Linked DNA regions of Rattus norvegicus. The main gene of each other region encodes a partner of the protein of the gene in region 6 in a complex. Links are inferred from orthologs where the notes say so. Each region holds a gene or a part of one and is shown on either strand. Other genes may lie near its edges.

What was found.
Region 1: the proteins of Actr2 (region 6) and Arpc5l are in contact, whole or in part, in a cryo-EM structure (PDB 6YW6), measured with the Homo sapiens proteins. The link is inferred for Rattus norvegicus from reciprocal best matches to the Homo sapiens genes ACTR2 and ARPC5L. Residues at the interface, in NP_005713.1 of Homo sapiens: Tyr225, Glu263, Phe266, Gln267, Arg319, Lys322, Gln323, Ser338; in NP_112240.1 of Homo sapiens: Arg11, Arg12, Val13, Asp14, Ile15, Asp16, Glu20.
Region 2: Actr2 (region 6) and Arpc5 share a complex: the UniProt entries of both Homo sapiens proteins name them as parts of the arp2/3 complex. The link is inferred for Rattus norvegicus from reciprocal best matches to the Homo sapiens genes ACTR2 and ARPC5.
Region 3: Actr2 (region 6) and Arpc3 share a complex: the UniProt entries of both Homo sapiens proteins name them as parts of the arp2/3 complex. The link is inferred for Rattus norvegicus from reciprocal best matches to the Homo sapiens genes ACTR2 and ARPC3.
Region 4: Actr2 (region 6) and Arpc1b share a complex: the UniProt entries of both Homo sapiens proteins name them as parts of the arp2/3 complex. The link is inferred for Rattus norvegicus from reciprocal best matches to the Homo sapiens genes ACTR2 and ARPC1B.
Region 5: Actr2 (region 6) and Arpc2 share a complex: the UniProt entries of both Homo sapiens proteins name them as parts of the arp2/3 complex. The link is inferred for Rattus norvegicus from reciprocal best matches to the Homo sapiens genes ACTR2 and ARPC2.

What each region holds. Positions count from the first base shown.
Region 1 is NC_086021.1:43,168,311-43,172,401, reverse strand, and holds the start of Arpc5l (actin-related protein 2/3 complex subunit 5-like protein), read right to left. Parts: upstream 2,801-4,091; 5' UTR 2,742-2,800; coding exon 2,593-2,741; intron 2,381-2,592; exon of another isoform or gene 2,200-2,380; intron 2,154-2,199; exon of another isoform or gene 1,864-2,153; intron 1-1,863. UniProt on the Homo sapiens protein: May function as component of the Arp2/3 complex which is involved in regulation of actin polymerization and together with an activating nucleation-promoting factor (NPF) mediates the formation of branched actin networks.
Region 2 is NC_086031.1:67,453,083-67,457,178, reverse strand, and holds the start of Arpc5 (actin-related protein 2/3 complex subunit 5), read right to left. Parts: upstream 2,801-4,096; 5' UTR 2,739-2,800; coding exon 2,596-2,738; intron 471-2,595; coding exon 398-470; intron 1-397. UniProt on the Homo sapiens protein: Component of the Arp2/3 complex, a multiprotein complex that mediates actin polymerization upon stimulation by nucleation-promoting factor (NPF).
Region 3 is NC_086030.1:39,844,637-39,848,678, reverse strand, and holds the start of Arpc3 (actin-related protein 2/3 complex subunit 3), read left to right. Parts: upstream 1-1,242; 5' UTR 1,243-1,352; coding exon 1,353-1,358; intron 1,359-4,042. UniProt on the Homo sapiens protein: Component of the Arp2/3 complex, a multiprotein complex that mediates actin polymerization upon stimulation by nucleation-promoting factor (NPF).
Region 4 is NC_086030.1:14,606,689-14,610,906, forward strand, and holds the start of Arpc1b (actin-related protein 2/3 complex subunit 1B), read right to left. Parts: upstream 2,801-4,218; 5' UTR 2,733-2,800; exon of another isoform or gene 2,708-2,732; intron 1-2,707. UniProt on the Homo sapiens protein: Component of the Arp2/3 complex, a multiprotein complex that mediates actin polymerization upon stimulation by nucleation-promoting factor (NPF).
Region 5 is NC_086027.1:83,268,769-83,272,934, forward strand, and holds the start of Arpc2 (actin-related protein 2/3 complex subunit 2), read left to right. Parts: upstream 1-1,490; coding exon 1,491-1,564; intron 1,565-4,166. Other genes in the region: uncharacterized protein LOC103690558, read right to left, coding at 746-833, 912-1,392, 1,450-1,492. UniProt on the Homo sapiens protein: Actin-binding component of the Arp2/3 complex, a multiprotein complex that mediates actin polymerization upon stimulation by nucleation-promoting factor (NPF).
Region 6 is NC_086032.1:98,532,293-98,536,262, forward strand, and holds the start of Actr2 (actin-related protein 2), read right to left. Parts: upstream 2,801-3,970; 5' UTR 2,737-2,800; coding exon 2,689-2,736; intron 1-2,688. UniProt on the Homo sapiens protein: ATP-binding component of the Arp2/3 complex, a multiprotein complex that mediates actin polymerization upon stimulation by nucleation-promoting factor (NPF).

The DNA.
Region 1 (4,091 bases), on a different chromosome or scaffold from region 6:
TCAGACAAACAAGGACTAGTCCTGATAAAGCCACTGATAACCCTCCACCCCATAACTTTTCTAACTTGGTATCCCCAGGCAATAAGCAGGTCCCATAAACCTAACAGTACATGGGGACTAACAGTCATTTTATTCACAAAATAGATAGGGAAGGGCAGAAATGATACAATTAGTCTGTAAGGATGAAAACATTAGACTCGGTACTGCAGCTTGCCAAGCAACCACAGACAACCAAAGGCCCACAAATGCTGGGTAGAATGGGGAGCAGAGAGGCACCTCTACAATCACACAATGTTTACTAAACTGGCCTCCATACCCAGATGGCTGCCAATAATTTCAGAGAACAGGCTATGGTAACAGAAGAACCCTATAGACCATTCTCAGACATGGCCCTAGAGCAATTTAGCAACCTCCCTGGTCTCTACCCTAAAGTTTCCAGTAATACCCCAAAACTGTAATAATCAAAATATCACCAAACATTGCCAGATTTCCTTGGGGTGGGGTGAAAAAAACTACAAAATCACTCAAAACCACTGTTCTACAGTCCTACTTGGGAAGCTGTTTCCCAAGAAAGAAAATGAGCTACAGTGGTACTTTAAAACTGCTGGAGTGGAGGAAAAATTCTCCCTGGAGGTCTTGGACCCAGGACCAGATGCAGTCACATTTCACCTTATTCTAAAAACCCTCCAGGACAAGAGCCTGACTTCTACCCTAAAGACAATGAAATTGAGTCAGAGGGGAAATTACCTGCCCAAGGTCACAAAGCTACATTCAGAGCTGACCTTCAAATCCAAGCCCTTTCTACCATCCCTTGCCCCTACTACAGCCTGGACCCAAGTTTTGGAGGATATCTGGTGTGTGTTCAGTTATGCTCCCGTTGAAGCGGTAAGACCAACACAGTTGTCTCTATCGTTTAAGAAGAGTGCTGGGGTTGAGAGGGTATGTGGTCAGCAGCAGTTAAAACAGGTTAGACTCTGTCTGTCCATGTAAGCACACAGTGGCTTTCTATTCCCACATTCTGCTCTTCCACAATGACAATTCCCAGCACAGCCCTGAGACCGCCACCTGCAAACATCCCCCAAATCTCTCTGCTATTCTCCCTTTAGACTCACATGAGGTTCTATAGACTGAATGCAATGATTGTCACCTGACAGGGACTCAATGATCCTTCTCCCTACCTGGGCCTAACATCCTGCTAGGGTTTCACTTCTAATCTGCTAGCCTCTCTTCTCCCAATACCAAGAGGTACTCTCTCCATGGTAACAAGGCTTCTGACACTGCCATGAGTGTAGAAGCCATCTCCTCTATGAGCTAAGCCAGTGCCTCTAAGCTACCTCCAAAAACAGAAGAAAAAGAAAAGAAAAAACCGTCAGGGCCTTCAATAAGTCCCAGCATCAATACCAAGGCAGCAGCTGACAGATCCCAGCCTCTTCATCAATATACTTAGGATTCTGGCCCAAATACATTGCCTTGTCAACAGTGACTGCACATAAACCAGTCTTCCCTCTAGGGGCCTTCTCATGACCCAATTTTAACCAACTTAATGGTGCAGGAAATACCAGTTTGAAATATCCACATTTGAAAAACACATTCCTGTTCAGTCTAAAAGGGTTGTTTTCAAGCTACATTAGAGGAGCACTACAGGACTCCTCCCAAAAGCTGTACACCTGACTTCCCAGGTTGAGTCAACTAAACCTGATTTATATACAGCAAGAGCTTTCAACCCTATCCTGGCAAGTACGGGGGAGGGGTACACACTTCCTGTCAAGCTATTTGAATAAAGAAAAAAATCTTCCTGTGAGAATAAATCAGTTTCCTGTGGTGCTCCAACTGCTAAGAGACCAAGCCAGCTGTGACAATCACCTCTATTTTTACTCTTCTGTTATAAATGCTTGTTTTCTGTGGCCACCAGCAGTCATTTTCAGTCGCAGGGAGCCACTTTTACACTTGACACTGTATGGTGTATTTTAGCTCTGAATCACTAGCTTTTTCCACGCTTTCTGCACAAGACGGCTAATGGCAGAGTCGCATTACTTGTTGAATGTACTCGGCCCATAAAGGCCCAAACCCCAACCTGCTGTGGTAAGTGGAGACAGGCGAGAAAAGGTAGCAGGCAATACCACACCTGTGGGATGGTCCTAAAGCTGCACCTCCCCCACCTCCGCCCTACAGTCAGTCTTCCTCCAACCATCCACCCACCTATTTTCGTGCTGGGCTGCAATCGGGCCCAAGAAAGCCAGTTAGACAAGCGCAGGTGGCCCTGGTTGCCCGATGAATCAAAGGTGGCTCACCTCGGTCCCTCTTGAGGACCAGCACCCGGGAATGACCCCGCTTACTACAAGGAGGGATAAAGGGATACCAAGGCCGATGCACAGTCACCCTGAAGGATGCAGAGCAAGGCCGAGAGTGAGACGAGCTCCTGGGCCGTGCTGCTGAGAAGGCGTGAGGCCACCAACGACGGACCCGGGGAGCCTGGGGCTGGCAGGAGCCCGGAGGGGGAGGGGGGAGGGGCGGAAGACCGGAGGACCGGGACTGGGGCTGGGGTGATCAGGGTGCGAAGGCCAAGCCGGGCCGCCACGCTGGGAAGGATATTGCCGCAGGAGCCCGTCTACCTCGCAGGGGTCGGGGCCTGGCTCGCCCGACGCCGCCGCCGCCTCTTCGTGCTCGTCTACGAATTTGTTCTCGTCAAATTCGTCGATATCCACTCGGCGGAAGCGTGAGGACAGTGTGTTCCGGGCCATGGCGGGAGCGCGGCGGCCGCCCAGCCGCCTAGGCTTCGCTCCGTACCGGCTCCCTCCGCACCGGCTCCGCTTGGGGGCGGGAAGCGGCCGCCGGGCACCTCCTCCCCTCCTCCGCGCGCAGCCGCCGTCGCCCGCCCACTTCCAGGATGCACCGGAACCGGAAACTCTTGTGGGCAGGGCTGCGCTGCAGGACTGTGGAAAGCTGGTGTAGTGCTGTCGGAGGTTGCAGGCGTAACTCTGTCGTCCCAGAAGCCGGACTGCAGTGCAAGGACATCTTCCGCCTCTGTCCGCTCCGGAGGAAGAAGTTTATGAGCTGATGGAGATGAGTGGTAGTGAACCGCAGTGCCGGAGTCTCTTAAACACTAACCGCATTGACCCACAAGGGACTTCTTTGTTAAAACTAAACGGCTCTAAAGGCGTTAATGTATAACCCGGGGCTGGCAGGACGCTTGGTAACAACTTTACTTGAGGATGTACCGACCCCTGCGAGCGTTCCAGAAAATAAAGATGACTCATGGCCACCTGTACTCCTAACTGAAGAGGCGCATTTTAGGAGGCGAAAACTACAGAATTCCCATAATTCGATGGGAGGAAGGTGGCTTCTAGGACGGACGCTTGGGATGCTGGTTTCTCTTTATTTCAACCGTAGGCTAAAATGAATCCTTTTTTTTGTAATTATACGAAAGCTATTATATTTTCACCTAATAGAACGCGAACAAAAATCAGGTGAAACATGGTTTTGCTTTACATAGTTCTCCTTTAACTTCAAATCAAAAACTTCCAGGCTGATGCACCCTAACCTTGGGATGCTAAAGGCAAGCTCCCATGGGGGCAAGTACACGCTGAATAAAGACTCAGATCCTGAATGTAGTCCTGCCTCATACCTAAGAAGTAATAGGGGCGCAAGTTAATCAGAAGATAGCAGGAATTCATATCCCCAGAACAACTTTATTATTTTTCTTAAATATTTTGTCTTCAAGTATTTTTGAGCACCACCTGGGTGTATTGCCTGCTGGAGGCCAGGAAAGGACGTGGGATCCTTTTGGAACTGGGATTACACAGATGGTTACTAGCCACCATGTCTTATGGTTATTGGGAATGGAACCCCAGGTCCTCTGTAAAAGCAGTAAGTGCTTTTAACTGCCCAGCCATCACTCCAGTCCCTCCCTTAGAACATCTTGGTCAGAAGGAACTTAATACCAGAAATACTGGTTTGACAGGTAAATAGCCTCAAATAAACTAATGAATGAAATAATGTTCTAGCTTGTGTTCATGGATGTTCATCAGGCAAAAGGGATTTTTGTTTTGTTTGAGACAGGGTTTCTCTGTTTTACCCTGGCTGTCTTGGAC
Region 2 (4,096 bases), on a different chromosome or scaffold from region 6:
ATTAAGAGGCAGCTGAGTGTTTTTTGAACCTGTTTGAATTCAACTCGAGCAGATTGCTCCTTAAGCACACACAGAGCTGGTGTCCCCACCCTTTCTGTTTACTGTGCTCCACGCGTCCTAACCACATGTCAGCCCTATTTTCCATGACCGTTCTACTTAGCAGGGGCTTCCTTTCGGGCTGGATGTGGTGGTGCATGCCTTTAATCCCAGTGGAGGCGGGAGATCTCTGCAAGTTTCAGGCCAGGTTATAGACTCAGGTCCAGTCTCAAAACAAAAGTCACACTGTAAACCCTCGTGTCAAGCACAGTAAATAGTTAAAATGGTCATTGAAGGTAGGTGTCAGAGGACTTTGATAATAGCGAAGCAGAAGGGATTAACGCTGTAGTTTACCACTCACCTTCACTGCCTGGCTCTTTGTGTTAATGGGGGGGTTTTTCAGAGCGGCCTGTAGGGCAGCGGTCATGTTTCCTGTAGTGAAGGTTAAGGGCATAACAGAAAGGGCAGCCCCGGGGTTGGGGATTTAGCTCAGTGGTAGAGCGCTTGCCTAGGAAGTGCAAGGCCCTGAGTTCGGTCCCCAGCTCCGAAAAAAAGAACCAAAAAAAAGGCAGCCCCACTTTATGGGACTGGTGGGTTAGACTTGACTTTGTGAACAGTAACAAAAACTACTATGGTCATTAACTGTATGGGTTTCTTTCCAATATGTCAACCAAAGGTTAAAATAATGAAATTAAAAGAATATGATTTTTTTTTTTTGGTTCTTTTTTTCGGAGCTGGGGACCGAACCCAGGGCCTTGCGCTTAAGAATATGATTTTTTTTAAAAGCAAAGATTGTTCTGACCTGTTCTGTCAACCAAAGAGATTACACTTTCCAGGGAAATACACACAATTGTCTAGACAGGTATTCAAGAAGTCTTAGAATATGCCTAAGAATTAAGCCATCGAATGATGCAGTTTACCAACAAAGTATTCCATCCTGTCTGCGTGATTCTTACTGGAAAACAAGCCTAAACTTGATACTGAAACTACACTGTGTATTAACTGAGGTGCTGGCAGATTACTCTGGCAATCAGAGTGGGACAGGCCGTGATAGCTGCATATTGATGAACAGGGCTCCAGATGATGTAATAACCCACACGACCTGTAGGTGGCAGCTTACTTTATTTCCTACAGGTTATTCAAACTGGGCTGGACCCTCCATACCTACTTCGTACTGAAAGCACTAATGAGTTAGCAAGCACGGGAAACGGAAGGCCAATCAGACTGTCAGAAAAGACAGTCATTTCCCTAAAAGGAGAACCAGAGTCACTTGTTCCTCCATCTGTAGTACCCAACCGGGGCTGCCGCTCCTAGTTATAACCAGAGACAGTACCTTTATATTTGGATAAGATGGATTGATGAAAAGGTAGACTGAATTAATAATGGATACAGTCATAATAATCACCAGAAATTACCTAAAATACATTAGTTTAATAAAATATCATATCCACCATAAAGATTTCTTTAAACGAAGAATAAACTCACCACTTCTGTGGAAAAGGTCTAATAAAAATTATCTACAGTTAGTGATAAACTACTGTCAAGCCTGCATAGTCTCTTAAAGAACACTTTTTAAAGAAAAAAATCCCAAGTATTTTAATAAATAAATTAGTAGCAACCAATGTGGAAGTAGTGGTAATGAAAGTTAAACGTATATGGCACATATATGTATATATTCGATGCTGTGGTTACCACTAAATATTTCTGCTTACTTCTTCATCATAATCTAGTAGAAAATCGATGAGGGAGATATGTATCTACAGACTTAATGAATACGAGTTTTCTAAAGCTCCAATTTGGGGTTTTGTGACATTTCTATTTTTCTAAGGGATCAATGCAAATGATTTTCAAGGTTATGAATATTCAGATATGCAAACCAAGGAACCAGGAACTGACAGCCATATTTTAACTAGCCTGGAAACAATTTCAGAAAAACGATTTTGATTTATAGAAGTGACTCATTCTCTGCTTTATTCACTGGGGTTCATCTTAAATTATTCCCAGGGATTCTCTACATGCATTCCCTATCCTTTTCCTAGTAGCCTTTTCTTAGCAGGTGAAAGGCTCAAAGCCTTACCTGGGAATTTTGGATTAGAAAACTCCCTTCAGCCTGTTCATAAATTATATGCAACCTTGCCCAAACCCTCTTCTTTTAATAAATAACACTGCTGATGGAAAAAGCTCATGGGCTGAATGTACGGAGGGCCTCAATTTGTTCCATCTCTCCTGGCTAGAATAAACTATGCCCGCTCCGCAAATCACACACACCCGACAGAATAGCAAGACTCCAGGCGGGACCCGTGTCCCCACCGGGCAGGAATTTTTGGAGCTCAGGTGCCCACTAGGGCGTCATCCGGTGCCCCCCCGAGAGGGTGCGGCCGCTTAGGACAGCGCACCTGAGGAATCGGGGCGCCGGCAAGTTCGCAGGCGCGGCCGCGGGGTGCAGGCGGCCTGATAGCCCCGGGACCTCCTGCCCTCCGTCCCCACCTAGAGCCGGGCACAGCTGGCCGCGTGTCCCCGTGTCCCCGCAACCCCAGGCCGCCGCGAGCGTAAGGATATTGCCGTAGGCATGAGTCCACCTCGCCCTCGTCGGGCCCGGCCTGGCCATCGCCGCCGTCCTCCTCGTCCACGAACTTGTTCTCATCATATTCGTCCACGTCCACCTTCCGGAAGCGGGCCGACGACACCGTGTTCTTCGACATCCCGGATCGCGATGCAACTCTGGCCTCCCCTCCGCGGTGCCTCTTCTTCAGCGAGCCTAGCCTTGTCCGACTCACTTCCCTCTTCCGCTCTGGGGCGTCGCCGGCAGCCGCTGCTTGCTCGCTTCTGGGCCTGCGCGCTAGCCGGCGCGGCTTCCTCCTCAGCTTCCAGCCATCCTTCAGCCCCCGCTCCGCCCCCGCGTCCCCCGGGAGCGCGCGTCGGCCAGGGAGCGCGCGGGACGCACGGCGCACGCGCGGGCCCGCTGCAGGAAAGGGGCGGGGTTGGAGGGAGAGAGGCGGGGGCGGCGGGCGGACAGAAAGCGGGCTGAGGCGGAGCGGGAGACTTGATTGGCCGCCGGGGAGCGTCACGTGACACCCGGGAGGTTCCCATAGAAACGCTTTTCTGCGGTCCAGCCTTGCGGGGGGTCTTGGGCTGGAGGCTATGGGCACTTGGGGCGCGTGGCCTGGAGTGCTGCCGCCGTCGGTGCCAGCCGCTTGTTGTTGGGGTCCGGTGTGAAGTGTGGGTGGTCGGACTTAAGCGTGGGGTGGGATGGACTGGCTGCAGAACCTAGTCCCCTGCAGTCAGCGGGAGAATGAGGCGGAGTGATGCCCAGCACGAAACTAGTGATCGGAGCCCTCCATTCGGACCGAGCGCCGCCGGGGGCTGCGTTCCAGAGCTGAGAGCCCCTTCCGGGGCTTGGGATCTTGGCACGCTGTCGGTGGGAGGTCCCCAAGGACGGAGTCGAAAGGTCACTTCTTACCTGTCAGTGCTGGGGGACAGCATCGCGGCCGGACCTGCAGAATCTCAACTCGGTATTCTCTCCATCTGGAGGGAGGGAAAAGATGCTTGGGCCGGGGCTGGGGACGGGTAGCGAAATTGGGGCAAACTTGTAGCATTTTCTAGAATCAGTCATCACATCTTAAAATAAGTAGTTATTTGGAGCAAGAATGCCAGAAGAGGGTGGGCGAGTTAGGCTTTTCAGCGCTGGCGCTGAGGGAAAATAGCGTGTGCAAGGATTAATAGAAACTGGACTTTCAAGGTTGTTATTTATTGTTTAAGGCACGCCAGATCAGCTTTTTTGCGATATTCCACATTCCCGTCAGAGGCACTAAGATTAAACAAATAATAGCTGTGCTCTGTGCATTATACTGTCGTACACGTATTTACAAAATAAAATTAATTCAGACACTTGGCTATGCTCTGCTTAGATGCAGATCTACCTGGTTTCACAAACAGCAGAAGGCTGGATGTCATCCTGTTGAGTTACCTCGTTTGTTGTGCAGTACTGAAAAAGAGCACTGGGCTTGGGATCAGAAAGCAGTGGCTGAGTTTCGACTTTTTTGCTCTCATAATCTGCGAG
Region 3 (4,042 bases), on a different chromosome or scaffold from region 6:
TCCCTGGGGCCTGTGTGGTGGAAGGAAAGCCCATTCACAAAAGTTGCCTTCTGACCTCAGGACAAGTTTGCACACAACAAGGGATTTAAAATGTAACTGACTACAAAGCAAGTTCTAGACTAGCCAGGGCTACACAGCGAGACTCTCAAAATACTTAGATGATATATGATGGGGTCAGTGGTAGGTCTGTTTCCACCCTTTCAGACATGTGGCATCACCTGGGCCCTTATAATACTTGGTTTTCTTGCCCACCTAGTCCTTACCGTGATCAGGAAAGACCTAACACCATACCGTGTTGAAAGAGTAGGGATGGGGCAGGAGAGATGGCTCAGCGGTTAAGAGCACTGACTGCTCTTCTAGAGGTCTGAGTTCAATTCCCAGCAACCACATGGGGACTCACAACCATCTGTCATGGGATCTGATGCCCTCTTCTGCTGTGTCTGAAGATAGCTACAGTGTATTCATACATGAAATAAATAGATAAATATTTTTTTAAAAAGTAGGGATGATATATGATACACATTTTGTGGATGGCAGGTCAAGGGGTAGGGAGACAGAGATACCACCGTAGGCATTATAAAACAGCAAAATAAAATAACGGAGTAGTGGAGCACACATCTGTAATTCCTGAACACAAGTGGAGACAGATAAGTTCATGTTCATATATATGTATATGCCAGCCTCGACTTCTTGTGACTCTTAACAACATAAACATTGAAAAATAAAAATAATGGCCGCCGGGGCTGGGGATTTAGCTCAGTGGTTAGAGCGCTTACCTAGGAAGCGCAAGGCCCTGGGTTCGGTCCCCAGCTCCGAAAAAAAGAACAAAAAAATAATAATAATAATAATAATGGCCGCCAAGTCTGCTTAGTGTGCAAGAGTTTCTGAAAACAGTTTATCCCGAGTCTCATAATGGGAAGTCAGATCTCACTTCCCCCACTTCCCCCACTTGCACTGTGGTTAAATTAAAAAAAAAAATAGACATGGCAGAAGGGTAAATCGGGGAACTGAGTGTTATTGGCTTTGAAGCTGAAGCCAGGGAATAAGGAAAAAACGGGAGTTGATTATTAACCACTTGAGAGGGATTCTTCAATTCTAAAGCCCATCCATTTTTTCTGAGTGCGTTTTACGCATGCGCCACACTCAGAGCTTACTGCTGGCGCGCCCCCTGGCATTCATTGCGATCAGTGCAGCTGTAGCAAACAGCGGAAGCGGGTCCGGAAGTGCGTTTATTCGCTTCGCCCGCCTCTTCCGGCTTATTTCCGCCCACTCCACCCAGTCTAGTTTGCCGGAAACGCTGCTCCGCTTTACCTGGGTTCAGCATCTCTAGATCGAATCCGGACACCGACAAAATGCCGGTAAGTCTTCGAGCCCCAAGGTCGGGGAGCCGAGCGGGGCGAGGGCCTGAGGGGAGGCGGGAGACCTGCGTCAAAAGGCCTGGGGGAGAGGAAACCGCCCTGCTCTCTAGCCCCGGTCCTTTGCCTCCAGCACCGGCTCTCTCGCCCCGCTGCTTCCACTCCCAAACCCCCAGTCCTGCAGTGTTCCCAGGTCCCACTCTAGAGCCTCAAACCTAAAAATGATGGCTTTTATTTTTAAACCTAGGGTCCAGCTTCTCCCCCCCCCCCCCCCCCGCTCTTGTCATGTCCACTTCCTCCTCCGCCCCAGGGAGTGAGTCGGCCTGCTGCTAATCACCTGTCAGACTTCACTTCCCTGATGGACCCCTTCCATCGTCCTCCCTGCTGTAACTCCCACCCAACTCCCAGACCACCACTGAGTCAGCGCTAGTTTCCAGGAGTTTCCTTTTCCGTGTGCATCCGAGTGGGAGGAAATTGATGCCGATTGCACATTATAAAGGGACGCTTGAATAAGGTCTACCTTCATTGGACAAGTGTTACTACTGAACTCTCACTGGGAAGCCAGCACTGTTAACAGCAGCAGCTAAGGCCCTCTCGGGGAGCTGATACTTTAACGGAGAAACAATAACCGCGTAAATATAAATAGGAAGTAGCTTCAGATCTTAACAAACGCTGTGAAGAAAATAGATCGATGGCAACGATGGTGGCAATTATTTCATCCCAAAACTTGAAGGCAGAGGCAGGAGAATAGCAAATCTCAGATCAGTGTGGACTGTGTGTGTAGTGAGTTCTAGGTCAGCCTGGGTTACATAGCTGTAAGAAATGGAGAGAGGCAAAAAAAAAAAAAAAAAAATACTGGGGAAAGAGCTTGTTGTGCGGGAGTATAGCAGATCATGCTTCTGACCCCAGCTCTGTTGAGGCAAAGGACAGTCAGATCCTCCGAGTTCATTGGCCAGCCAGCCTAGCCAAAAATCAGCAAGTTCTGGGTTCAGTAAGAGACACTGTCACACACACAAATACATAGTAGGACTGAGGAGGTGTCTCAGTGGCACAAGTGTGAAGACCTGAGTTTGGATGCCTAGCACCCAAGTAAAACAGCCAGGGGAGGCAGCTCCTGTGGGCAATTCCAGAGCTGGGGATGTATAGAGATCCCTGAGGCTCCCAGTCTGAAAAATAAAGTGAAAAGCAGTGAAGAAAGAGACCTGTGGCCTCCAGCTGGGGACATACACATACGTACCAGTATGCGCGCGCGCGCGCGTGCACACACACACACACACACACACACACACACACACACACACACACACGGGCATGCATGATCATGTGCAAAAAGTAAAACCAAACCAGTGCCTGATGACGGGTTGGGGGAACAAGGGACCTGGGGATGTGGGCAAGAGGTTGGCATAGGTAAGGCTTCTTAGGGCAAGCATAACCTTGAGCTGTGTGTGTGTTTGGGCAGCAGTGGGGAACTGAACCCAGGGCCCCATGGCATGCTACATACACAGATGCTCTACCACCGAGCTAGATTCCCGTGTCTTTCTTATTTTTGTAAAGGGGTCTCATAAAGTTGCCCAGGCTGGCCTTGAATTTGTTATCCTCCTGCCTCAGTTTTCCATGCAGCTAGGATCGCAAGCCTGCCTGGCATCACCATGTTTAGCCTTGGAAGATTTATGATTTTTATGGTTTCTGACTATTGAGGTACATGTGAAAACCCAGAGTTATTGTCCAAAGAGCCCCCAACTCTCAGGATGACAGTGTAAAAGAGATGTCCATGGCATTAATATCCTGCTGAAGGACTTGGGGCTCAGCAAAATTCAATGACTTGGGCAATGTTTTGTGGGGTTTTTTTTTTTTTTTTTTTTTTAAGATTTATTTATTTATTTATTTATTTACTTATTTGTATGGGTACAGTGTGGCTATCTTCAGACATGCCAAAGAGGGCATCAGACCCCATGACAGATGGTTGTGAGCCACCATGTGGGTGCTGGGATTTGAACTCAGGACCTCTGGAAGAGCAGTCAGTGCTCTTAACCACTGAGCCATCTCTCTCACCCAACCTAGCAGTGTTGCTCATGAGTAGTGAAGCCAAAGTTAAAGCTAGAACTGAAAAGCTCTGTGTGCAAGCCAGGTGGACACAGAACGAATGCTCTAGACTTAGTCTGTGATTGCTTATTTGGTCTGCTTTCTCTGTTAGCTGGAAACATCGTATATATAGCTTCATATCAGGAGAGACGGTTCAGCTTGCTGCTATTGGAAACACATGCACAAGGCGCCATGAGCTGGACCCAAACTGGGCTATCAAGCACACTGACCTGGGAATCAGTGCGGTTCTTGTCTCTTCTCCATTAGCTGGGGTCTAGCCTCATAGCCTTTCATGGCTGGCAAGTTTTAAGAGAATCTTCACGTAGGACGTGAAGGGCAGGGCGAAAGGGTGGACCCCTCAGGCCCTGGAGTTGCAGCAATGCAGACACATCTCAGGATAACAGAAGTGTTACCAGGTGGTGAGATGAAAAACCACCTAAGGGTTGGAGAGATGGCTCAGTGGTTAGGAGCACTGGCTGCTCTTCCAGAGGTCCTGAGTTCAATTCCCAGCAACCACAATTCTGTTCCAGCGTCCATACCCAGCAATTCATAGCTGCCTAGTTCCAGCTCCAGGGACCCCAGCGCCATCTGCTGGAGTGCGTGGA
Region 4 (4,218 bases), on a different chromosome or scaffold from region 6:
GAATACTTCCTGACCATTGCTGAATGATTTCCACTCTCCTGCTGTCTGTATTGAGGGATGATGAACCGAGAAACACTATTTTTTGGGGGGGGGGGGTGTGGAGCATGGGACGACATGACAGGGTTGACAACTCTCCAACAGGGTGTGCTGCTGCTCATCAAAGACACAGAAGGCTGAGGCTGGAGGATCATGAGTTTGAAGCCAGCTTGGGCTTCATACGGAGAACCTGTGATAAATTAGACAGACAGACAGACAGACAGACAGACAGACAGACAGACAGATAGGGGGAGCTTCCAGCCTAGCCTGGTGACCTGAGTTTGATCCCCAGGACCCACATAGTGAAACAAGGGACCAAGCAGCTCTTGTAACTTGCCCTCTCACTCCCCCCACCCCCACACACAAATAAATAAATGTAGTTATAAATAAATACTCCTCTAACTCTCCATCCGGGCGGGGCATCCTTTGCCCTGGCCCCAACCTGGGCCCAAATGGGGACAGCCTGTTGGTCCTTCCTTCTCAGTTGGCTTTTCTTGGCTCTGTTTCCTTGAATCCACATTTTGGCTGGATCTGAGACTTAGACCAGGCAGGAGTTCCCTGCAGCAAGAACCTTGGCTCCACAGGCAATCCAGGAAGTCCCCGCCCAGCTCAGGCGTTCAGTTGAGCAGAGCCAGCAGCCCTTTCTTTTTCTTCTTTATGGTGCTAAGCCTTACTCAACTTCCTGTTGTGGGTAGCCTGGGTGGTGTGATCGGCCCTCCAAGCCCCTAGTTCCTCCTCCTCCTCCCCTTCCTCCTCTGGGCTGCCCTTGAGTGAGTGAGGGGAATGTCAAATCCAGCAACACAGATGAAAATAAATTCCAAAATACTGTAAAACAGCAGTTTTGATAGTCAAAATTAAACTTCTCCAAAACCCAGAACACTCGGTGCTGGCAGGGCTGTGGAGAGAGCCTCATTTGTCCTGTGCCTTGGAAGGGCAGTGTGCTAGCTTGTGTAAGGACAGATAGAACATAGGGTGGAAAGAGGGCTCTGTGCAAGCGAACCTGGGACTCCAGCAGCTCACAACCCACAACCACCAAATAAATACTCTAGCTCCAGGGGGTATCATTTCCACCACCCTGGGGCTCGTGTGCTCGTGTGCTCGTGTGCGTGTGTGTGTGTGTGTGTGTGTGTGTGTGTGTGTGTGTGTGTGTGTGCGCGCCACCCAACACGTAAGAATAAATCTTTAAAAGGAGAAAATAACACGGATGAACTTAGTAACTTGAAAAAGCAAACTTTTAAATCCCTCTCTCTGGGATTCTTTACTACAGAAAATCCTTTTTTAATGGATGAGTGACAGATTGGAAAAACCCACATACCACTGGGGAGGCCGAGGGTGTGGCTCATTGGTAGAGCATTTGCCTAATAAATTCGAGGCCCAGGGACCAAGACAGAACAAAATTAACTCTGGTTAACGTTATTTGTTATTTAAAAGTTCCCCCGGTGTGTGTTCACCTTTAATCTCAGCATTGGGGAGGCAGAGCTCTAAGAGTTCAAGGCCAGCCTGGGAGGTGTGGGAAAGAAGGAGGGGAGGAAAGACCCTGTCTAGAAAACAAAACAACCCAGAGCAAAAGAGAATCACTAGGAATTTTCATTCACACAGAACTTTGCCTTGCACTTGTGTGTGTGTGTGAGCGCCATGGACGTCCCGGAATTCAAACTCAGACCCTCATGCTCCCCGGTCAGTGCTTTTATGATGCCCTGCTCGGTCTCCCAGCCCCGCACATTCTCTTACAGTCGAAGCCAACCTGGTAAATCTATTTTTTTTTAATTGTCCACGTGAAGAAGTTGAACTTCCCTCCAAGTCGCCCCGCAGGGCTTCGGACACCAACCCACCCTACCGCCACCACCACACAAGGCCAGGTTCACCCAAGTGCAGAAATGAGGTCTGCAGGCAGGCAGGCACACTGCCAAGTGTATTGGCCACATCTGGCCGCTAAGCCTCCGGATCTGGAAGGTCCCCATTTTTCCGGCAAGGTAAGTTGAGCTCTACACAGGCGAGGTAGCTCGCCTGCGTCAGCAGCCACAACAGCAGGAGCAGCTACACCGCCCCAGGCTGGAGCTGCCTCCCGGGAACAAGCTCCACGGCCAGCACCTGGGCTGGCTCCCAGTTCAGGATTCCTGCCCGCTCGCCGGCCCCACCAAACCTGCCCTGTCCAGGATGGCCTGGCTGGGTGCCCCTCGCGCCGCCCGGGTCTACTCGCCCAGACCGGGTGAGACCCAGGAACCTGGACCCCTGCTGAGTGGGCATGGTCACTGGGGGGGAGGGTGAGGCGGGGCAGGGTGCTAGCTCATTTCCCGGTCTCAACAACCCGGAAGGCTGCGAACCAAGGGGGAAGTGACTGGGCGTGGGGCCCTGCGCCCAAAGTAACGGGGCAACTCGGGACGCGAGGATAGGAAAGCGGGGCCAGGAAAGCGAAGAGGGGGAGCGAGGGCTGGGGCTGTGCCGCCTCGATGGCGTGGAGTGCGCGGGGACTCTCTGCGACCCTTCCCACCGCACCCCGCATCCCCAGAACGCGGTCCCCCATTATCTCCTCGCCAGCCCCACCCTCGCCGGGAGCCCCACCAGGCCCCCATGCACACGGCTCTCCACTCCTCTCTCATCCTCAGCCCCCTCACCGTCGAACATCGCTCGAGTTCCCTGACTTCTAGGTAGCCTCAGATCCCACACACACCTCGTGACCACCCCACGTCCCTCACCTCGGGTCTCCTCGGCCGCGGACTCTGGACAGTCGACGCGCCGAACCGGCTCTGAGACCCGCGCAGCGCCGCAGCCACTTCCTCGTGGGCGGGGGGCGGGGCCTTCGGGCACAGCCCCGCAGGGACCGGGGGCGGGACCCAGGCGGCTGTGGCCAGATCCCAGGGCCCGCCCACCCCTCCGGGTACCAAGCCGCCTGGACCTCAGTTAAGTCCAGCTCAGCTCAAGATTCGTCCAGAGAGCGCAGGCTGTTGCCCCTAACTACTCTCTGAATGGGGAAACTGAGGCCGGAAGAGAAGGGGAGAGCTGTCTGAGCAGCTAGAGGGCGGAAGCCCGAGATCGGGCCACCAACAATTCAAAGGTGTTTGAGGCCACACGCAGGCACCCTACAACTTAATGTCTCCTGCAGGCCCTGCCCCTCACACACTAGGTGCACCCCAGCCGCTGTTCCCCTGACTCTCAGTGTCCCAAAGATAGCAGAACCGCTGGTGTCCAGGAAGAAGGACACCGGCCACTCCAGGTGACTTCTTGCTTCTGTATTCCACACACTTCCCTCCGAGTTACTGAACAGCTTTGCAGCCACCGGAGTCAGGTGATGCTCCAGGGTCAAAGGTCATCCAGGTTATGTGCTTCTGAAGTTTTTTTTTTCTCTGCTTCCCACCTTAGGAGAGCTCTTTCCTAAACTCCCAGCAGTATCCTGTATCACTGATTCGGGCTTCGTTTACACCGAGACCTGAAGGCTTTCTCTAGGGTGACTCGTATGTTTAGAGGTGCCTGTGACATGGTGACACCTATCATCCCAGCACTGGGGAGGTAGAGGAAGAAAGATGACCTTCAAGTTCTTCTTTGGCTGTGTTAAGCCAGTTGAAGGCCAGCCTGGGTTACACGAAAGCCTGCCTCAAAAAAACTAAGAAATGGGCCAGCAAGATAGCTCAGATGGCAAAGGTGTTTGCCACCCAGCCTCAGGACCTGAACTGAATTCCCAGCAACTCACACAGTAGAATGAGAGAATAGACTCCTTCAGGTAGGTTATCTTCTTGCTTCCACACACATACCAGCCATAATGAATTAGAGTGTGTACACACACACACACACACACACACACACACACACACACACACTGTAGCTGTCTTCAGATACACCAAAAGAGGGCATCGGATCTCATTACAGATGGTTGTGAGCCGCCATATGGTTGCTGGGATTTGAACTCAGGACCTCTGGAGGAGAAGTCCGTGCTCTTAACCGCTGAGCCAGTGATTTTTTTTATGGTGTTGGGATTCAAACTCAGGGCCCTGCACACACACAGCAAGCACTCTACCACTGAGCTACATCCCCAGCCTTCGCTTAAGTCTCCTAAAGTTTGGGTTGGGGATTTGGCTCAGTGGTAAAGCGCTTGCCTAGCAAGCGCAAGGCCCTGGGTTCGGTCCCCGGCTCTGGGGGAAAAAAAAAAAAAAGAAAAGAAAAGTCTCCTTAGGTTTTGGGGGCTGG
Region 5 (4,166 bases), on a different chromosome or scaffold from region 6:
TTTTTTTTTTTCCGGAGCTGAGGACCGAACCCAGGGCCTTGTGCTTGCTAGGCAAGCGCTCTACCCCTGAGCTAAATCCCCAACCCCACACATTCTTTTATAAAGATTTCTTTCTTTTTTTCTTTTTTCTTTTTTTCGGAGCTGGGGACCAAACCCAGGGCCTTGCGCTTGCTAGGCAAGCGCTCTACCACTAAGCTAAGTCCCCAACCCCGATTTATTTCTTTCATATATATGAGTACACTGTAGCTGTCTTCAGACACCCCAGAAGAGGGCAGGGGATTCCATTATAGATGGTTGTGAGCCACCATGTGGTTGTGGGAATCGAACTCAGGACCTCTGGAAGAGCAGTCAGTACACGTAACTCTGAGTCATCACTCCAGCCCCTACCTGCACACTTAAAACAAATATTCCCACTATCAAACCAAAAAAAAAAAAAAAGTTCATTGCATAGAGAAGGGGCTTAATTAAAATTGTTCCTGGAAGAGAGAAAAATGGAAACATGGTACCCACGCAGAAAGGACAGTGGAGCACAGTGATAGAAAATTCTAACTGTAGCAGAGTTACTGGACCATGAGGATCACCTGAGGTGCACTTAAGCAAAGAAATGAAGGTGTGACAGGAATCCCGGAAGGCCCATCTGGATTCCTGTTAACTTTCTTGACTACTCATTCCTTTCCTTTATTGCCCAGTAACAATGTGTAGTTCATTGAGAATTTATTGTGTCTCCTTTATCAGACCATAAGCTTTAGGAGGGTAAGTCGTCATATTGCATTACACGATGCCCACTAAACAGTCGCTGGCAAAGAAAGGCACGAAGGTGCTGCAGGGTAGCCCTAAGTAAAGAGCATCCACAAGTTAGAAGCAAGAAGTTCCCCCAAAACAAGCTTCTTACGGGGTTTCAGAAATAATACCGGAAGGGTGGAATCGGGCCTCTGGAATATTCGGGAAAGGCGCAGGTGGATTGTAGTAAGGACAACAGGGAATGACAGGTGAGCGTTGGACTCAACTGGTCAGGAGAGGCGGGGCGGCGTGCCGCGCATGCGCACGCATGCCCTCTGCTTGCCTCCTTACCGGGACGCGCTTGCGGGCGTGTGCACGCTCGAGGTCGAAGCGGAAATGGCGCCGCGGGGCCGCGCGTCCGGGCGGCGAGCGGAAGTGGGTGTGAGAGCGGAAGTGGCCGGCTGGAGCCGGGGGCTGGGCGGGGACCGGGATCGTCGGTAAGGCGGCGGCGGAGGCGGCGGCGGCTCGGCAGGCGGGTTGAAGCTTCGGGGGCCAGGTCGGTCGGGTGGTGGCTGCCTCTACGGGCAGCGCGTGCCGGGCCAGCGCGTGTGTCCGCCTCTCCCCACCCCGCTCCCCGTCCCCTTCTCCCCTCACCTACCGCACCCAGCCCCCCTCGTCAGGGGCAGCGGGGCCGCTCCCTCAGTCCTACCCTCGCTTGCCCACCCTCACCGCCCTTGTTTCTCCTTCCCCTGCTCGGGGCAGCCGCCGCCATGATCCTGCTGGAGGTGAACAACCGCATCATCGAGGAGACGCTCGCGCTCAAGTTCGAGAACGCGGCCGCCGGGTAAGCGCACACTGGGAGGAGGCCGAGTTGACCCTAGCTAAATCCCGGGTGGCGTCCAGCTCCCCAGCCCTAGAGGGAAGAGGTCGGGAACCTGGCGCGGCTTCAGGGTTTCCTTAGCAGGATGGACGTGGGAAGCCACGGGGCGCGGTAAGCCGAAGGCCTAAGATGCGTGGGGAGAGGCTGAGACAGGGATGCGGAAGCAACGAGAGGGCAGGAGCAAGGCGTGCCAGAGAACAGACGACCTGTGGGACGTGAGGGCAGCCGAGGCCAGAAGTCACGTCCGAGAGCCTACTGTCCTAAGGGGGAAAGAGAGGGCCCCACTTTCCTCTATATTTACCGTCATTGTTCCGAACCCAGAAAGACCCTTTTGGGGAAGCTGGATTGAATGGAGTTTTTAGGAATTCCCAGGATGAGGTGGGAAGAACATGCAGGCCCAGATCGCCACCGGCATTCTGCTTCCCCACCCCCATCTCTCCCCCAGGAGAAGCAGGAGGCAAGACTGAAAGCAGACCCAGGCTTCTAGGAGGGAAAAAACCCTCTAACCTACTGCGAGAGACACTAGCCATTTTGTTACATATCTCTTAGGCAAAGCCAACAGTTCTCCATCCACTCTCTTTAGCTCTCAAGACAAGGTTGATTTGGTTGGGTGTCTTAAATTCTTATCCAAGACACCTGATCTTTGATTTCTAGTAATGCCCGCTGGGTTAATAGCTGCCTCTCCCAGAATCTATAAAGTTCTTAAGATAATTATTTATTAACATCAGCATCTTAATATGGGACGTATTTCAACCCTTCTCTGTCAAACACAAAAAAGCAAACTCCTCCCTTAAAGCTGCTTTGCCTCCCTAATGTATTTAAAACCTGAGCAGAGGTTTTAGGTTCTAATTTATGGTGGCCTGTGGCCACTCCTTTGCCTCATTTCCTCATTGGTGAGGATGGGGCTTCACATTTTGGTTTCACAGTTAGGAGGTAAGTGCAGACTGTTTCTGTGAACGGGGAACTGGAAATAGGAAAGTGCTTGCAGATCCACAGAAAGGAGAGGATTGGAAGGGGGGATTCATTCATTCTCCTCTTTAATTCTAAGCATTTATAATGAATGTGTGGTTCGCTGACACTGAAAGCATGGAATACATTGCCTGTTCTGTCTCTTTTGTAAGGCTCCACGTTTTATCTGCAAACAAAATAGGACAGTCCTTGAATTGGTGCGTTCAGTGAACATAGTTTCCTGCCCTGAGTGCCGTTGAGCACATGCTGCCTATTCACTCGCTCTTATTCACCTTGTTTGCATTTTGAGTTTTGGAATTAGTCGACACACCGGGGCTTATTGTAGGTGATGGGGTGTGTGCTTTTTTTTTTTTTTAATTAGTGTGGCACAAATGAGGAAGTTAAGATAACTTCTGCATTTTCACAACTGATCTTAATACATACATTCTCAAGTCTTGACTAGCAAAGAATGAGTCCTGGGTGGTTATAAGCGGATCTACAAGATAAATGGCTGCGTGTGTTCAAGTGGAGGCATGCCTTTAAATGGAGGAGGACTTTCATAGTTATTTATTTGTTAATAACTTGATTCTAAAATGTGACCCACTATTCAGAACCTTATGTAGCCCTTTTACTTTTAGAAAACTCTCCTTAAAGTTCTGTGGTCGGTGATGTATGCCTGTAGTCCAGGCACATTCAACTGTAACCCCAGCTTTCAGGGGCTCATATGAGCGAGACAGGAACAGCAAAAGTTCCAGGCCCTAATGAAACCTTGTATTTAAAAAAAAAAAAAAAAAAAAAAAGGCCAGGCCAAACTAGGTGTGATGTGCTTGTAATCTCAGTTCTTAGGCCATCCTGGCCTACCTTGTTGCAGAAAGATTAAAATAGAGTTTTAAATTTGGAGGGCATAAGTTAGAATTTCTGGTTTGTTTTTTGTTTTGTTTTGTTTTTTTGGATAAGGATGCTCACTGTAGCCAGGTTTAATGTCTGAGGCAGTAGTATGTTTTGTCTTATTTAGTTCATCCTTGGGATATGTGGCTTAACAAATATGCTCAAAACATTGTGTTTAAAAAAACTTTGAGAATCTTTGAGAAGAGACTGTGAAGGGCTGGGGTTTCCTGAGATTGCCTGTTTCTGCAGGGTGTGGTGGTACTCTCCCATAACCCTAGCACTCCTATAACCCTGGCAGCAGGGCCAACACAGGTTCCAGGCCAGCCAGGGATTATTTAGTGAGACTCTGTCTCAAAAGAAAAGAAAAGCCAACCTCTAAGCAAGTGTGCTCCAGTCTGCCTGTCAAGATGAGGCAGCACTGAAGTGGTTACTGAGGCCACGCGTACACCACTGCTGTCTTCTGCAAGGATGGGTCTCATCGGAGCTCAATGCCAGGCAGCAGTTGAAAGAACAGGGAGCCTTTTGAAGACAACCTGTTAGCAAAGTTAGGGAGGAACTGATGGACAAGCTCTGTTGGGAGAGGATAGAAAGCTTAAAGAAAAGGAGTAGCCCAGAGAGACTGTGCAGAGTGAAAGGCTGTGCAGGGTAGAAACCTGGGAGAGCTCAGCTCCACACTGCTCTCTGCACTTCTCAGAACAGATTAATAGGGAAATTCTGTTCATGGTAGCCT
Region 6 (3,970 bases):
TCTGTTTCTCAAACATCAGGCCAGCACTCTACTAAATGAGCTACACCTCCAGCCCCCGTTATGTGTGTGACTAGATGGTACGTATATGAGGATCCCTGGGTGAGCGTGTGGGAGAATGCATGCTATGGAGCGTGCACCTCTGGAAATCAGAGGGCAACTTCAAGTGCTGGTCCTCATCCTTCACTTTGTCTTTTGCTGTCCACTGCTGCATACAGTTTCAGCTAGCCCAAAAGCTCTCTGAGGTTCTCCTTTCTCTGTCTCGGGCCTTGTGGTGGAAGCACTGGTGTTACAATCCCAGATCCATGTGGGTTCTGGGGACTTATCCACTGAGCCATTTCCCCAAACCCTTTTCTATTATTTTTTTTTTAAAACTCGAATCATAATGTCTTCTCTAATATTTAATTGTAAAGACATCATTATAACTTCGGGTCCCTAAGTAAAACTGAGATGACTTTAGAAGAATAAGCAGTTAGGGAACAAAACAGAATCTAAGGATGTACTAGTCCTCAAGTTTTCTTGGTTCTTTTTTTTTTTTTTCGGAGCTGGGGACCGAACCCAGGGCCTTGTGCTTCCTAGGTAAGCGCTCTACCACTGAGCTAAATCCCCAGCCGTCCTCAAGTTTTCTTAAGGGACATCACAATATTCCTAACTGTGTTATGATTTAAATCGGAGCTATCTATGAATATGAGGATATGACTATTTCATTCACAGCCAAACATATGTACAAAAAAAAGTGAATAGAGCTTTTAAGTAACTACAAGAATAATACCAAATACAAAACTTTTTGTTTGAGTTAGCTCCTTTCACTTAAACCATAGTAGCTGATCTTTGTCCTAAGAAACGGGATTAAAAAAAAAAAAAAAAAAAAAAAGAAAAAGAAAAAGAAAGAGATGGAGTCTCACTATGCAGCTATGGGGATTTGCCTGTCTCTGCCTCCCAAATGTTGGCATAAAAGGAGTACGTACGCCATGACTTCAGCTTTTAAAAATACTTTTAAGACTTACTGCTTTTTTAAATATTTTTAAGACTTATTGCTATTTTAAGTGTTATGTGTGTTTACTTGGATGTCTGTACCACATGTATGCCTAGGACCCACAGAGGCCAGAAGAGGACACTGAGTACCCTCGAACTACAATTACAGATAGGTGTAAGCTACCACACAGATGCTAGGACTCAAACTTGGGTTCTCAGCAAGAGTAACAAGGGCTCTTAACTGTTGAGTAATCCCTTTGGTAGTTAAGATGGTATTTTTTTTTAAATAAGCACTTTTATAAGACTTTTAAGAAAAGTTTAGACATTTATAATTTAGTTTGAATATAGTGTAACAATACATGCTTTGCTTTAAAAATCTTTTTCCTGATAATTTAGAAGCTTTATAAAATTCTACATAGTTTTCCTCACTGCTTTATCCTTTATCTCAAAAAATATGAGATGCATTTTCTTTTTTTTTTTTTTTTTTTTTTTTTTTCGGAGCTGGGGACCGAACCCAGGGCCTTGCGCTCGCTAGGCAAGCGCTCTACCGCTGAGCTAAATCCCCAACCCCGGAGATGCATTTTCTGTATCCCTACATGAAGTCTGCAACATAAGTATCTTTAACGAACACATAAATGGCGTTGCTTGAAAACTTTTAAGTTACTGTGATCTGTTACCACAGCAGTAGTATGAATGCCCCTTTGTACTCTGTTACCTATGCTATTCAAGCCCAGTTTTAGCTTAAATGGAGCTAGAACAATAATTGTCAAAGTTTGTGATCAACTCAACCAAGGGCACTCTAGTGGCAGAGAATACCAGCTCCTTTCCCTTTTTAACAACCTGGCTTCAAAGAGATAATTCAAGTAAAATCTATTTTAATTTGTGTGTCATCTTTGTGGCAGAGAGGAGAAAAGTCGCAAAATGTTGCAACGCTAAAATAGAAATCACTGAAGAAGTCATTCAAAAGAAACATTTGCACCTTCAAAACTGGAACCTTGAGGCTCCAAACTCATTTTTAATTGGGAATAGAAAGAAACCAGTTGCAAATAGTTTTCCGAATCTGAGCTTTGGTCTGATTTTGACAATTTTAGCATCTTTAAGACTGAAGTCTCTATCTAGTACTGATCCAACTAGAATTAACGACTTGAGAGGCCCTAGGTCTCCTAAGTCTTCCCACAGACGAGGGTCTATGAGGAGTTGCATGCAAGCCAAGAGGTGAAGCAGAAGCCGCCGACCATCCCCCTCTCTCAAAACCACAGACGACAGGGACAGCCCACACACTCTCCGGGGGCAGCCTCGAAGCCCAGAGCTAGGGCCGCGGCCCAGGGCCTGACAGCACTTCCTCTTTTCTCTGCGGAACCCGTTTCCTGCCTCGCATTCGGCATCTTCAGCTACACAGGAAGAGGAAGGCCGCTAGGTCTTGTATGGACGGACACAGGCGAGGCTCGGAAATGGAGACCTCCTCGCCACCTAGACCTACATCTCGGGACGCGGGCGGATGCTCGGGAGCCTGTGGGGACCGGTTTCGCCGCCTTCGGGTGCACTGCGGGGTAGCTTAGCTCCGGGACACCGGCTCAGGGCCGGCCGGCGCCCCCCGAACGTCCTCCCGCGAGCCCGCGTCCCTCGAGAGCCCGCCCGCGCGCCTGCCCGCGCCCCCGCAGCCGAAGGGCCCGCGCGCACCCCGCACACACACGCGGCCGCCCCGCCGGGTCTTACCCCAGTGCCGTTGTCGCACACCACCACCTTCCTGCCCTGGCTGTCCATGGTTCGCCCTGGTGAGCCGCCGCCCGGCCTGGCCCGCTTCCTCCTCCACACGGCCCCGCCCTCGGCCAGCCGCTCCGCCCAAACCGGAAGTCCCCGCCCGGCAGCCGCTCCAAGAGGGAGGTACAGAGAAAAAGCAGAGCGGGGACTGGCAGCCGAGAAGACCAATGAGAGTTGCCCGGTATGGGCGCGCCCTCTCGCCTCGCTCTGCTTCCGGCGCTGCGCAAGGCTGGTGGGGCGGTGGCTCTGACCCAGGTGTCTCGGGACCTAGGGCGCGGCCCGGACGGCTGTGCTGGAGGCAGGCAGGTGAAGGCCGGCGAGAGAGCGGCGCGGAGGCGGTGGAGAAGGGTGGAGCAGCGGGCTGGGAAGACCGAAAGCCACCTGGAGGTCCCGAGGCATGATGTGTCATTGCTCCTAGATCTAGATGGATACACCTACACCAGTTTAAAGCCTCCGGTTTATTTCACACCTCCAGTTGCAGCCCCAGGAGCCCGGCGGGATGCTTTCGTTTCTTTCTGCTTCACCACTTCCCCCTTTGACAGGAACTCGCTATGTTGCCAAATGCCGCCCTCAAAATTGAGATCCTCCATAGCGTCCCTTGGAAACAGAGACAAGGGCTACGCATGAACCTAGAATCTCGTCTTTGAAGTCAGACAACTCCAGGCGGGGTGTGGTGGCTTTAATCCCAGCACTCAGGAGGACTATAGCAATAGAGGCCAGCCTGGTCTACGTGGAGTTCCAGCCCAGCCAGAACCATACAGTGAAACCCTAAGTCTTTGATTTAGCGGGTGGTGTTGCACTCGCTTTCAATCCCAGCACACAAGTAGAGGCAGTTGGATTTCGGTGAATTCCAGGCCAGCCTGGTCTATTTACTGAGCTAGTTCTAGGACAGCCAAGGCTACACAAAGAAACACCAAACAAAACCCTTTCCTTTAGTTTAGCTTTGTTTTCTGAGACAGGGTAGCATTGTCTATCCTTGTGTTAAAACCGAGAGTCACAGATTAAAAAGACCAAATCCATGATTGTCCAATTAGAGCAAGCTAATTTTGGGATGCACCCAGACTGGCTAGTCAACTGTGTCACCGCTGTCGGCCTCTCGAGGTCCGTTTTATAGTAGAGACATGGAAGGATTGTTAGATACAATTGTTAGAAAGATACAATGAAAGGGAAGGATCAATGGGAAGGATATATGTAATGTAAATCCCAAGTTTAGCTAGGTTGAAAAGTTGTTTTACAG